Oryzias latipes: one gene and its partners. The protein of the gene in region 2 binds, or shares a complex with, the protein of the main gene of each other region. Links are inferred from orthologs where the notes say so. Each region holds a gene or a part of one and is shown on either strand. Other genes may lie near its edges.

The links. The genes of interacting proteins can lie anywhere in the genome.
Region 1: rbl1 (region 2) and lin52 share a complex: the UniProt entries of both Homo sapiens proteins name them as parts of the DREAM complex. The link is inferred for Oryzias latipes from reciprocal best matches to the Homo sapiens genes RBL1 and LIN52.
Region 3: rbl1 (region 2) and mybl2 share a complex: the UniProt entries of both Homo sapiens proteins name them as parts of the DREAM complex. The link is inferred for Oryzias latipes from reciprocal best matches to the Homo sapiens genes RBL1 and MYBL2.

Annotation. Positions count from the first base shown.
Region 1 is NC_019880.2:13,721,197-13,725,351, forward strand, and holds the start of lin52 (protein lin-52 homolog), read left to right. Parts: upstream 1-1,355; 5' UTR 1,356-1,358; coding exon 1,359-1,392; intron 1,393-1,443; exon of another isoform or gene 1,444-1,503; intron 1,504-2,178; coding exon 2,179-2,232; intron 2,233-2,848; coding exon 2,849-2,923; intron 2,924-2,999; coding exon 3,000-3,037; intron 3,038-3,134; coding exon 3,135-3,201; intron 3,202-3,962; coding exon 3,963-4,046; intron 4,047-4,155. Other genes in the region: pomt2 (protein O-mannosyl-transferase 2), read left to right, coding at 1-88, 274-379.
Region 2 is NC_019863.2:32,786,893-32,790,920, forward strand, and holds the start of rbl1 (retinoblastoma-like protein 1), read right to left. Parts: upstream 2,801-4,028; 5' UTR 2,691-2,800; coding exon 2,529-2,690; intron 966-2,528; coding exon 832-965; intron 706-831; coding exon 502-705; intron 119-501; coding exon 54-118; intron 1-53. UniProt on the Homo sapiens protein: Key regulator of entry into cell division. Directly involved in heterochromatin formation by maintaining overall chromatin structure and, in particular, that of constitutive heterochromatin by stabilizing histone methylation.
Region 3 is NC_019863.2:23,223,541-23,227,758, reverse strand, and holds the start of mybl2 (myb-related protein B), read left to right. Parts: upstream 1-1,418; 5' UTR 1,419-1,656; coding exon 1,657-1,676; intron 1,677-1,951; coding exon 1,952-2,048; intron 2,049-3,034; coding exon 3,035-3,106; intron 3,107-4,103; coding exon 4,104-4,196; intron 4,197-4,218. Other genes in the region: uncharacterized protein LOC101163484, read right to left, coding at 46-70. UniProt on the Homo sapiens protein: Transcription factor involved in the regulation of cell survival, proliferation, and differentiation. Transactivates the expression of the CLU gene.

The sequences.
Region 1 (4,155 bases), on a different chromosome or scaffold from region 2:
AAAGCTCTGACCTGCTGCTCCACTCTGTTTATTCTGACCGGCTGAAAGTTGGTGGATGGCTGCTACTTCAGCTCAGCATCCTTTACAGGTGAGACTCATAAGAGAGCCCTAACTTTGCAGTTTATATCAGGTGAAAGTAACTCTTCTCGTAACTTTTTGCATTGCAAAGTGCTAAATACTGTAAGGCAGACCTCATATTTACATCTAGTTGGTGGGAATGTAAAGGCAATAAAGAATTTGTTGATTTTGAGTAGATCTTTGTCTTCCTTCCAGTTTCTACCTTTTTCATCCTCTGTCCTATGGCATGATGGGTCCTCTTGCCCATGAGCCGGGCAGTGCCATGGCAGGCCTGAAGTGGATAGACTCCTGGGACTTCTAGTTATCCTTGTTTGATTAAGATGTCACAGACACGGAGCATTTTGAGCCGAGGGAATTTCAAAACATCAGTTTGAGTCTAAACATTTCATTTGTCTTTCTGTAAGAAAAAATGTGAATTCAGTCAGTTTGGAAAGCAGATTGTAGAATCTTTTAAGATGCACTGGAGTTGTCACCAAGTTGCCTTTAGTGACAAACTAAATTCCATTTGAAAGAGACAGTAGTTGTTGTTTTTTTTAAAGCCAGAACATTTTACATGTATTTTTAGTTGAGATTGTCCTGAGCTTTAGTATTATACTTTTGATTTTGTGTTTTTATTATGTTGATCAATAAATTGTTTTATTCTTGTATTTCATGTCCTGTTATATTTGCAAAATTTACAAACACAAAACGAGATGTGCCGCAAAGTCAAAAAATTGGAAAACTCAATATATATATATATATATATATATATATATATATATATATATATATATATATATATATATATAATAAATTGTACCGTTTTTTTATGTATACTTAAGTTCAAACTTGTAAAATCTGTGAAACATGGGCCTAGTAAACTAAATGCAAGAAATTGTTGTTATAAAAATATAAACTAAATGCAAAACATTCCAAATCTGGGATGTGAAAGTCTTGTTTAATAATTGAGTTATGGTTTTTCTTTCCAGAAATAAAAACTAGAGGGAATAAAAGGTGATTTAAATGTCCCCTAAGGTAAAACCATAAAATGTACCAGCATTGTAACATTTCATTGAGACTATGGTGGGCTTAAATAAGGGTCTTTTCATTAAGTTATGACAGTAATGTTCGTACTACAATTTCTAAGACGATATAAATCTTTGAATAAAACGAACAGTAATCTTCTGTGCCTCTTGTAAACAGCGCGAGCACCATTGCCGCCCTCTAGCGGCGTAATTTTGAAAAACATCGCCACACCTCAAAACAGAGCGCGGCCGCTGCGATTGGTTGTTGCATGTCACATGATTATTTTGAAGATGGCGTCTCCAAATGGAGGTAAATTTTAATTCTTCTCTCCGATACGCTTTGAATACATCGCAAATGTGACAGTTTCGAGACATTTAAGTCGTTAACAGTTATAACGCAGTGTAATGTGAACACCCAGAGGTAACGTAAAATTTGTCGTAGGACTAAATTCTTGTTTAATCGGTTTGTTTTTCTTCCTTTGTTTTTCCTGATTCTGGGACTGACATTGTCCGCCGTTGATGATGACAGCAGCAGTCCAGATTGTTCTTCTTGTTGCTTCGTTTGGCCGTTTGGCTCGAATTAGCATCAGTGCTACATTTAGCACTTAGTTATTTTTCTCTACTTTAAATTAGTAGTAGCTGTTTTGGTTGCTTGTTAGATTTTGTGTGACTGTTCGACTCCTTTGATTGAAAATGGAATCAGTCTGCTATTAAGTATTATGTCCGTAATGAGTATCTTTTAATGTGTTAAAAATGTTGAAAGCAAATTCTAAAAAGTTTAACAGTCTGCAGAACCAATAATGTTATTAGTTAGTAATTCACACTCTGTCAAGAGTTATTGAAATTTTGGATACAATTCTCTATATTGGTGAAGGACCAGTGTTCAGATTTGATAGCAAAAGTAATTGTTGATAAGAAAGAAAACCCTTTATACATATACAGACAAATAAGAAAGAAAAGTGTCTCTAACAAGTGTGCCAAGAAAAGATCCCCCATACCATCACACCACCACCACCAGCAGCCTCAACTGTTGATACAAGGCAGGATGGATCTATGGTTTTATGTTGTTGATGCTACCATCTGAATGTCCCAGCAGGAATGGAGACTCTTCAGACCAGATGTTTTTCTAATCTTCTATTGTCCAGTTTTGGTGAGCCTGTGTGAATTAAAGCTTCAGTTTCCTGATCTTAGCTGACAGTAATGGCAGCATTAGGTGTGGTCTTCTGCTGCTGTAGCCTATCTGCCTCAAGGGTTGTTCAGAGATGCTCTTCTGCAGACCTTGGTTGAAACCAGTGGTTCTTTGAGTTCCTGTTTCCTTTCTATTAGCTGGAACCGGTCTGGCCATTCTCCTCTGATCTCTCACATCAACGAGGCATTTCTGTTTAAATGGCCAAACATATTTTTACAGCAGTGTAAGAGTTATTAGTAGATGATCAGATCACCACATGACTATGACCTCTTTGAACATTTTAATTGATCAGTGTTTGTACGAATCTTAAATGAATAAAACCATTTATTCTCATTCGAAACTGCCTAATTTTAAGACCAGATAAATATTAGATTTTTTCCTCTCTTTCTGTCTAGATAAAACATGAAACAAAAGTTGTTTTTAGGTTTCAATTTTTGACCTGTTTATAAAAAGTTACTTTTTAATTTTTTTTAAATTAACATTTGGCTGAATTTTATAGTTGACCACTGATTTCCAAAAGCATAGAACTTAAAAAACTAAAGAACATGTCAAAGTGAACCACTGTGTGCTTCTGCAGGGGAGGATTTTGAGATTTCGTTGCTGAGTTTTGAGAAGCTGGACAGAGCATCACCTGACCTGTGGCCAGAGCAGTGTAAGTTTCTATCCTCCCACGCCCAGCTGATAAAAAATTACTTTGTAATTGATTCTTTATGTGAATTCTCACACAGTGCCTGGAGTTGCAGAGTTTGCGGCAACTTGCAAAAATGTGAGTTTAGCTCTGATCTAAAGATGCAGGATTGACTCTGCATAGACTGATTGGAGTTGAGACTTTGTATGTTGTTGTTTTTCTCTTTTTATTGCAGCCTATCACCACCTCTCCTCCAAAGTGGATGGCTGAGTTGGAGAGTGAGGACATTGAAATGTTGAAAGGTTGGTTCAGACAGCTGACATTTATCCTGTATAAACCTTAGGGAAAACATTAAAAACCCACTCTGATAAGAAAAACCGTGTTTTGAACATGTTCTTGTGGCATTTGATATCTTGACATCTGATAATGGAGGACACGTATAAAGAAAATTAAGCTTGAAATTGCATTTCTGAGTTCTTATTTATTCAAATCGTTGTGAATCAGGAGCAGATGAAAAAATGCTGTTTGAAATTTCTTATTTCTTAATCAATATTGCTCGCCATTTTCGTTTCTAAGGTTAGGTTGGGGGTGTGAGTGGCTGTAAGCTAGCAGTAGAGTGTATAAACTGATGATCTACTGCAGCTCTGCTCTAACTGTCCTTAAAAATCACACAGTGTTTTTTTTCTATCTCGGCAAAAAACGGCATAATCATTCATTAAAAGACCTCTGGGAACGCCTTTTAACCCTTGTGCTATCTTAGATGACCCCACCCTTACATTGACGTGTTCTTCCGACCATGACAAAGGTGGATAAAGGTGGAAAGATTTCATGTAATCCATGGACACCAGTGAAGATCATAAATCATTGAAGAAAAAAAGTTCAGCGCACTGTCTAGTGGGTCTACATGACCCAACTCCCAACGTTAAAGTGCCTAGGATAGCACAAGGGTTACAACAGATCAAAAGATCAAATCCGAGTGGGACTTTAAATAATAATTCATGTTTCTTTAGCTAATTAAGTATCTCTAAATGCTTTTATTTAGTGTGATGTTATACCTCTGCAGAGCTGGGAAGTCTGACTACAGCCAATCTGATGGAAAAAGTCAAAGGACTTCAGAATCTGGCTTACCAGCTGGGTTTAGAGGAGTGTAAGTATAACAAAGACACTTCACCACTAGGGGGGGCTAAAAGCATTTCCACGCAATTCTCTGCCGCTGAAGTCTTTGGCTGCTTCCACATTCAAATTCCAAACAGGTT
Region 2 (4,028 bases):
GCTCAAGCAAACCCAGAGGGTTCAGGAAGGTCGTCCGGCTTGTTTCTCGGTACCTTTGGTGTAGACAAAGAGGGTCCAGCAGAACTTGAAGACATCACTGATGTGACAGGGCAGCCGTCTGCAGACACACAGGAGCAGATCCTAAAGCCCAGAACATTCCGGAAAACTCCACATCTGCTGAAAGCTGCTGTCGGTGCAAACATGCAGCAGCGTCTCTGACGTGGAGGTCAGAGTTCAAGCTGTGTCTGCAGTAGAGATGGAGCTGCAACGGATCCCAACACTCACGGTTTGGATCATGTCTCAGATCAGTAAAAAGGATGAAACATCAAGACAAAAGCCTAAAATGTATTTGTTTTTGTCAAAACCTTTGCTCGGGTTTTATTTGAACTCAAGATATTCCAACAAGACGCAATGCACCATGTGTGTATGTGTGTATATATAGTATACTGTGGACATGTATATAGTATACACCGTCATGCCTGAGGCGCGCCGGCGTCCCACCTGTGCTTCCTGCTGCGGGGCTGCCGGGGGGGCTCGCTGCCCTGTGGGTTCTGGAACATGTCCATGAAGATGGGCTCGAACTTGCGGAAGATCACGGTGGACACCTCAAAGTTTCGCTCCAGCCGGTCCATCCTCAGCCGGAAGTCTTGTGACAGGTTTGACATGTCGGCCCACTTCCTCATCTTAGAGAAGAACTGGATCAGGCTGGGAGGGGGGCCGACAACAAACGGGACCAAACATGAAGACGCAAATCCCAAAGTTGCACAGGCGGATCCCGTTTGACCGGGACTGGCTGTAAAATCCAGCAGAAGCTGCAGAGCAGAACCTGACCTGAGCTTGGAGCAGCGCAGGATCCGGGTCAGGGACACACAGTTGCCCTCCATCAGCCCCTTCCCCACAGTGGGGGTGGACCCCTTCCTGCAGGCGGCGTACAGAGAACAGGCCAGCCAGTGGACCACCTCCCCCTGCAGGAACACAACGGCACATTTCTGCATCGTCCAGCTCTGCCCACCCACCGGTGCCCGAGTGCCCTTGGGCCTGTTAGCGTCTGGCATGGCAGCTGTGCCTCCATTGGTGCGTGAATGAAATGATTGGTAAAGGTTCAGGTTCTTCTGAACAAAACCCTGTGCTAAACCCTCAGGAACAGCTAGTAGATGAAACATGAACACGTTCAGCATTCAGTCACATTTCAGTAAAATACTGCGTTTTATTTCATTCTTTTCATTTTGCTCAAAATAGACTTTACATCTTTAACCATATGAATTCATAATGAGGTGTAACAGCTGTTTTATGGAGACAACAACAGAGATAAACGATTTCCTAACGTTCACTCGTCTAGTTAAAATAACGCATCAACATAAAATCCAGTTATTACAACTAAATGTACAACATTTGGATCCGTTTGGAACCAAATATGCTACAAAAATGCTGAATTTATTCACCAGAGTGACGTCATTTTTCTACATTTAAAGAAACATTGAATCATGTGAAGAATTTCAGGCATCTCCATCTTCAACGCCATCGTGTTAAACAGCAGCAGGAGCGCACAGAACAAATCCACCATCTCAACCCTGAGATCAAACAAATCCATAAAAAATCATCAAATAAAAACAACTAAACTCATTTCCTCCAAATGGCCCATTCACTGTAACCTTTTCCTGTTTTTAAATATTTTTATTATTTGTATTTATTTAAATTGCTGTTTTAACTGTTTATTATATTTTATATAAGTACATATGATGTACAGCAACCTTGAGTGCTCAGAAAGGCGCCATCTAAATAAAATGTGTGATTATTATTACTGTATATTAATCAAAGAGCTAAAACAAATCTAGTAAAGTTTTGGACGTTTCTGTTCTTTGGGTCACTTTTCTAGACAGCAACAGATAAATGAACAGAGTCCCTTTTAAAGCCACATCAAATCAAAAATCCAGATATTAGACGCCTTTGATTACAAATCCTCCTTTATGCAGGTGAGTCGTGCTGTGTTCACTGCCCTGTTCAATCAGTAGGAATTTATAATTCTCTTTACGCCCCTCAAATACTGTTTTCTTGCTAATATTTTCTTAGTTTTTGCTAAAAAAATAAGGACTTCATATTTAAAAATTCAGTGCATCCACCTCCATGTTGTAGATAATAAATACACCTTCCGTTTATTGCCATCTATTTATTGCCATTAGTTACCAGGTAAACCTAAAGACGAGGCTCCTCTTCCCGTCACCTGCAGCATCTCGCTGTGACGTTGATTCAACAACGGACGTAAACAACAATCCTATGACTCAAATCAACACCTGGATGTTTTAACTCAGTCTCACAAATAAGCCTCATTTCAGTGTTTCTGTGTGTAAACACAAAAATCTCCGGTAAGCTTCAGGAAAACTCACGTCACAGCATCATGTATTAATGTATATCATGACCGGAGGTCGCAGAGCAGAAGCGCTCGTTGGCTCATAGCGGGTCAGTCTACAGCGCCCCCGGGAGACTCTAACCCCCCCCCGAACCGAACCGAACCGAAGCCAGTCGTTTACCTCCAGAGTGTATGTGTTCCATATGGAGGTGAAGTTGTCCATGGCCTCACTGGCTGTCTGCTCGTCCATGTTGAGCTCCTGACACAGCACCTCCAAACTCCTCCGGACCGAACTCTCCTCCATCCTCCCCGACTCAGAATCCGAAGACTCCTCCCCTCTCATCCACAGAACCAGCGCTGCCCGTCCGCGCAGCTCGAATCCGACCCACAGAACCAAACAACGGCGGAGCCGAGCTCTCACCACAACAACACGGTTCCCGTCGCTTCCGCTAACAGCTCCCAGCATGCAGTGCGGTGGCGCGAAAACTTTACCCTTCTGACCAATCAGAGGCGAGAAACCTACGCCCCCCTCTCCCCCTTTCTTATGTACCGGATGTCAACTTTTTTTTCTAAAACTTTATAAAAAACAAAAGCACGAACACATTGAAGGCAAAAACTTCTCTGGCCACTAGGAGGCAGGGACATTAGTTATCATTATCGGTTATTATTACTGGTTATTATTATTGTTAATTATTATTGGTTATTATTATCGGTTATTATTATTGGTTATTATTATTGTTAATTATTATTGGTTATTATTATCGGTTATTATTATTGGTTATTATTATTGGTTCTTACTACTGGTTGTTATTATTGGTTACTACAATTGGTCATTATTATTTGTTATTTTTATCGGTTATTATTATTGGTTATTATTATTGTTAATTATTATTGGTTATTATTATCGGTTATTATTATTGGTTATTATTATTAGTAATTATTATTGGTAATTATTATTGGTTATTATTATTAGTAATTATTATTGGTTATTATTATTGTTAATTATTATTGGTTATTATTATCGGTTATTATTATTGGTTATTATTATTAGTAATTATTATTGGTAATTATTATTGGTTATTATTATTAGTAATTATTATTGGTAATTATTATTGGTTATTATTATTGGTAGTTACTATTGGTTATTACTCCCTCCCTACATTTGTTCCTTAATCACAAGGAGAAGTGTGGAATCTCACTCCTCTGATCCTTAGACGGTTGTTTCTGTTCCATTTGCTGCACAGAGCTGGGAAAAAGCCTTAGTCCACTCTGCTCCTCCTGCTTGGAAAATGCTGCAGAAAGACTGGAAACTAACTGAACTGGTATCTTTAAATGTTTTTAAGAACAAGCTCAAAGCATCAGAGACTGAAACAATAATGTGCAACTGCTTCTCATGATGTATGTGGTTTTAATGATGTTTGTTTTTATGTATTTTTTTGTATTGAAATGTGCCTCTGGACCAAGACTCCCTTGAAAAAAAGATCTTGTCTCAATAGGACTACCTGGTAGAATAAAGGTAAAGTAAAAACCTCTGGAAAAGTAATAATAAAAAGAAACATTCAAAAATCACAATTTAAGCATTTATAGCTCAAACCTAGATATTTTGTTCAAGTGGAAATACAAATTTAAACAGCATAAAACGATGGACTAAAAACGAATGGGGACATTTAGTTTCTGGGAT
Region 3 (4,218 bases), about 9.6 Mb from region 2:
CTCTGCTCTCAAACTGTTCATCAGGGAGGAGGGGGAAAACCTTACCTTGTAAGACACAAGTGCTCTCCATCTTGTCTGGAGATGTGAAGGGCTCAGTCTGCTGGGTTTTAACCTGCCTCTTAATTGTCCCAGCTGGAGGCTGATTAGCTGAATGGAGACTTCCTGCTGCATAGGAAGTTTTGCATTTGTGTAATTTCTACCAAATATAATATACCCAACAAAAAGTACTTGTCATAAGAAAAAGATCAAAACATGACAACACCATAAATTAGACATAAATTAGAGTGGTTTTCTTTTATTTTCAACTGTGGGATGTATGACAAAATGAAAAAGAAAAACATAGGGAGTTCCTAAAAATATGCTCAAAAATTCCTGAAAAATTAGGAATTTGAGAACAGAAAAATTCCTAAAAAGAATTTAAACACAACATATTGAATTTCATGTAAGTAGTTTTTCTCTGGGGAAATTCACCCGGCGATAGTGCCCTAGAGTTAACCATAAGTACATGTATTCCCCTAAACTAATACACTATTTTTTAATCATAATATTTTGATATTTATATCAGTTTGATAGGTCATTGTATGAATGTCTAACTGATGATTGTATTGTTTTTGTGTACTATTCTTATTTGATTGCTTTAAATAAACCATTTTCTAATCCAAATATTTGAATTTTGTTTAATTTTCTTATGTGAAATCAAAATTACAAGTAAACTTTAAAAGTCAAATTAAATTACAGGCCTAAATGAAGCTGTTCGCTGATCTTAATTAATGAGAACTGTTCTATCCAAATTTTTACTGAGATTGAGAAGATTGAGCTTAAAAGAAAAGTTATAAGATGAACAATGTTTACCTTCAACTCGCAACAATCATAAAAGACCTAACTATTGACTAATCATTTTATCTTAGCTTATAAGAAGAGTTCACAAATATTTTATATATTCATATACTGATTCATTTAAAACTAACCTTTTCATTATTTTTTTTAACTGTTTTCCGGTTTTAGATTAAATTTAACTTTTTGGGTTATTATTTTTCTAGCTTTATTTATTTATTTGTTAGTTAGTTAGTTAGTTAAGTTAGTTTGGCTCTTTTATTTTTAAGTTGGTTTTGTAGTGTAATTATTTCTTTTAGGACAATGTATCTTTGCTTCAATATTTTCATTCATTTATTTGTCTATATCATTTTTTTTCAATTCTATGTTGTATTTTTTTGTCTATATAATTATTATTATTATTATATTTTAAATTATTTATTTATTATTTATTTATTTTATAAATCTTAATTACAGCACCTAATTAAAAACCATTTTGAATCAACCAAACATTACATTTATTTTATTATAAAGCGTCTTAACATTTTATTTTGAAGGTCATCCATAGAGGTTTGAAGCCTTCTGCGCAGATCTACGGAGCACCTACGTCACTTGAGAGTCAGCAGTACGGAGAAGGGCGCGAGATAGAAATTGCGGCGCGCGGACGAAGCTCGCGCCTACCTCTAGCTGTGGCTTCCCGGCTCTATTATAACTGCAGTCGAGGTTCTTTCGTCAGAACTGGACATCCTGCAACGACCCAGCCGTGTCACCTGCAGGTTTTTCCCGCAAACACCTGCAGCCCAGCCCGGTGAAGTCCACGTTTGACCCAAATAACAGTGGGAAATGTCATCGTGGCCGCGCGGGTAAGATCCGTGTTTTTGTTTGCTTTTAAGTTTGCTTGTTTGTTTATGTTGCATCTGATGAGCTGACTTCTGCTCCGATCGGGTTGTGGGGAGTTTGCGCGGACTTTGACTGCCGCCTTTTTTCCGGACTTGGCTCAAACTCCGACCAGAATCACCGCCGGTACTTTTCCAGATCACTGCTTCCTGTCAGTAAAGCTGAGCCGCAATCCCGCGGATCCGGTCTTTCTTCGGCGCCTTTAGGGTCAAATCTCAACCTCTTTAATGTGTCCCGGCAGGGAGGACGGGGAGGAGGCCGCGCATCCGGACACGGACACCGATCTGACGGAGTTCAGGGATGGAGGGAAAGTAAAGGTCAGATGGACGCAGGAGGAGGTAAAAGTTCACCCTGAGTGGGGCCTGTGATTCTAGTGCAGTGTTTTTCAACCTTTTTTGAGCCACGACACACTTTAACCTTGACAAAAATCCTGCGGCACACCAGCATCCAAAAATGTGAGAGAAAAAAGGAAAAACTTATAGTCAGTCTGTATTGATCTACTACAGCCCCTCCGCAATCTCACATGCATTTTTGTGACAATTGTGGCAGAAAAAGCTGGAAGTTGCAGCTGTTTTTTTTCTAAAAGATGTAATAAAAGTTAAGTTAAAAGATTTAAAAACTGTTTGATCTGTTTTCGTTGTGGTTTCAAGACGTTTAACAAGGACGACTCATTCTGCGCTAAGACGCTGTCACTTTAACCCAATGCATCATGGGAGATGTAGTGCAAACAGCCGCAGAACGCAGAAAGACTAGCGTCTCTGAGCTTCATTCTTTTGTCCACTTTTTCCACGGTCTGATACCAGATTCTGTGGAAAGCTGCACCGCTAAAGACGAGCTTTAGCTGATATTTTTGTTGGAACTGAGAGACTTTATGAGCAGAATCGGAACAAGGAAGTGAAGACTTTAACCACTTCTGATTGGTCAGACTGTTGACGTGTGATTGAGCCTCCAAGAATGATTGGTGGAGACAGTTAAAGGGGCGGGACTATTCCTTATACAACTGTAGCTGCGGCTAAATCACGGTACCGTCATTCTTATCAACATGTCTTTAATAGAATCAAATAAACACAAAGAAAAATGTATTTTATGGTCTTTCATATTCCTAACTACTCAGTGTTTTATCAGGGCCTGTTTGGATGAACAAAGAGCTGTTATCCTGGAGTTGGGAAATCTTTTTAGATCAGTTAATGAGGGCAATTTCCCACGGCACACCAGACCATCTCCCCCGGCACCACGGCACACTGGTTGAAAAACACTGATATAGTAGCCCTCGTGGTTTTGCAGCGTAAAACAAAAATGATTTGTGTTTGTTTGTTTTTTGCAGGACGACAAGCTCAAAGGTCTGGTTCAAAAACTGGGGACAAATGACTGGAAACGAATCTGCAGCCACCTCCCTGTAGGTCTAATAGGGGCGTATCTGTCTGATCATCACTTTGTGTTGCACTGCAGGAACTTTGATTTATACAAATTTACGAAATCTTACTTTTATACAGGGGCGGAGCTACAGGCGGGCAAGAGGGGGCACCCCCCCCCCCCCCCTGCATAAATCTTAGCCTCCTAATATTTGAGTTGATATGATAATCATTATTTTCATAGGTTTAGAAATCATAAATACTAGCTTCTTTAAGTATTGCAAAAATAATTTTAAAAAAAATTATTTTAAAAAAAAGTTCTTGTTGCCACCCTTTCAAAGTCTTCCACCCCCCCTTTAAAATCTTCTAGCTCCGCCTCTGCTTTTATGATTTCTTTCACTGAAATGTTTTCTTGCAATTATCCAACACTTTTATTGCTCAGACTTAAAAATATAAAACCAAGTTTCAGCGATTACCGTAGGCAGTTTTAATATTCAGTTTTCCCTTTTATAAAGCATTTAGAGTTTAATCCTAGTTCAAATTTTCCCAAAGAAGAGAATCCCCTTTTGTAGGATTTTGGTAAACCGAATGTTGGATTTGTCAAAGTTGGGTGACTTGATGTTTTTTTTGTTTGTTTAAACTTTTTTTGCACTAAAAATCTGGGATTAAAAGACTTAAAATTATAAAAATTCCTTCAAATTGCAGAAAAAAATTTAAGGTGAGAGGATTTAATCTGCACATTATTTCTGATGACAAAAGAACAAGGACAAACCTGCAGCAAAAAATAAAGTTACATATATTTCAGAAAAAAACATTTTTTTTGGTTTTTCAAATCCTGTAGAGAGAGAAAGAAAACTGCTTTTTAAAGTACTTTAAACAATTGTTTGTCTTTTTTGAAGAAAAGGTTAACAATTATTTCAATATCGTTTTTTGCAAGTACTGTTTTGGTGACAAACATGTTGGGATTGATCTGGAGATGATCGGGATCAGAGGTTTAGTTAGGACGTTTTTCCAAACCTGACGCTTGTTCTGTTGGTCCAGAACCACTCGGAGAACCAGTGTCAGCACCGCTGGTTTAAGGTTTTGGATCCCGAGCTGGTTAAAGGTCCGTGGACTAAAGAGGAAGACGAGAAGGTAAGCTGCCATTCAATTAGCA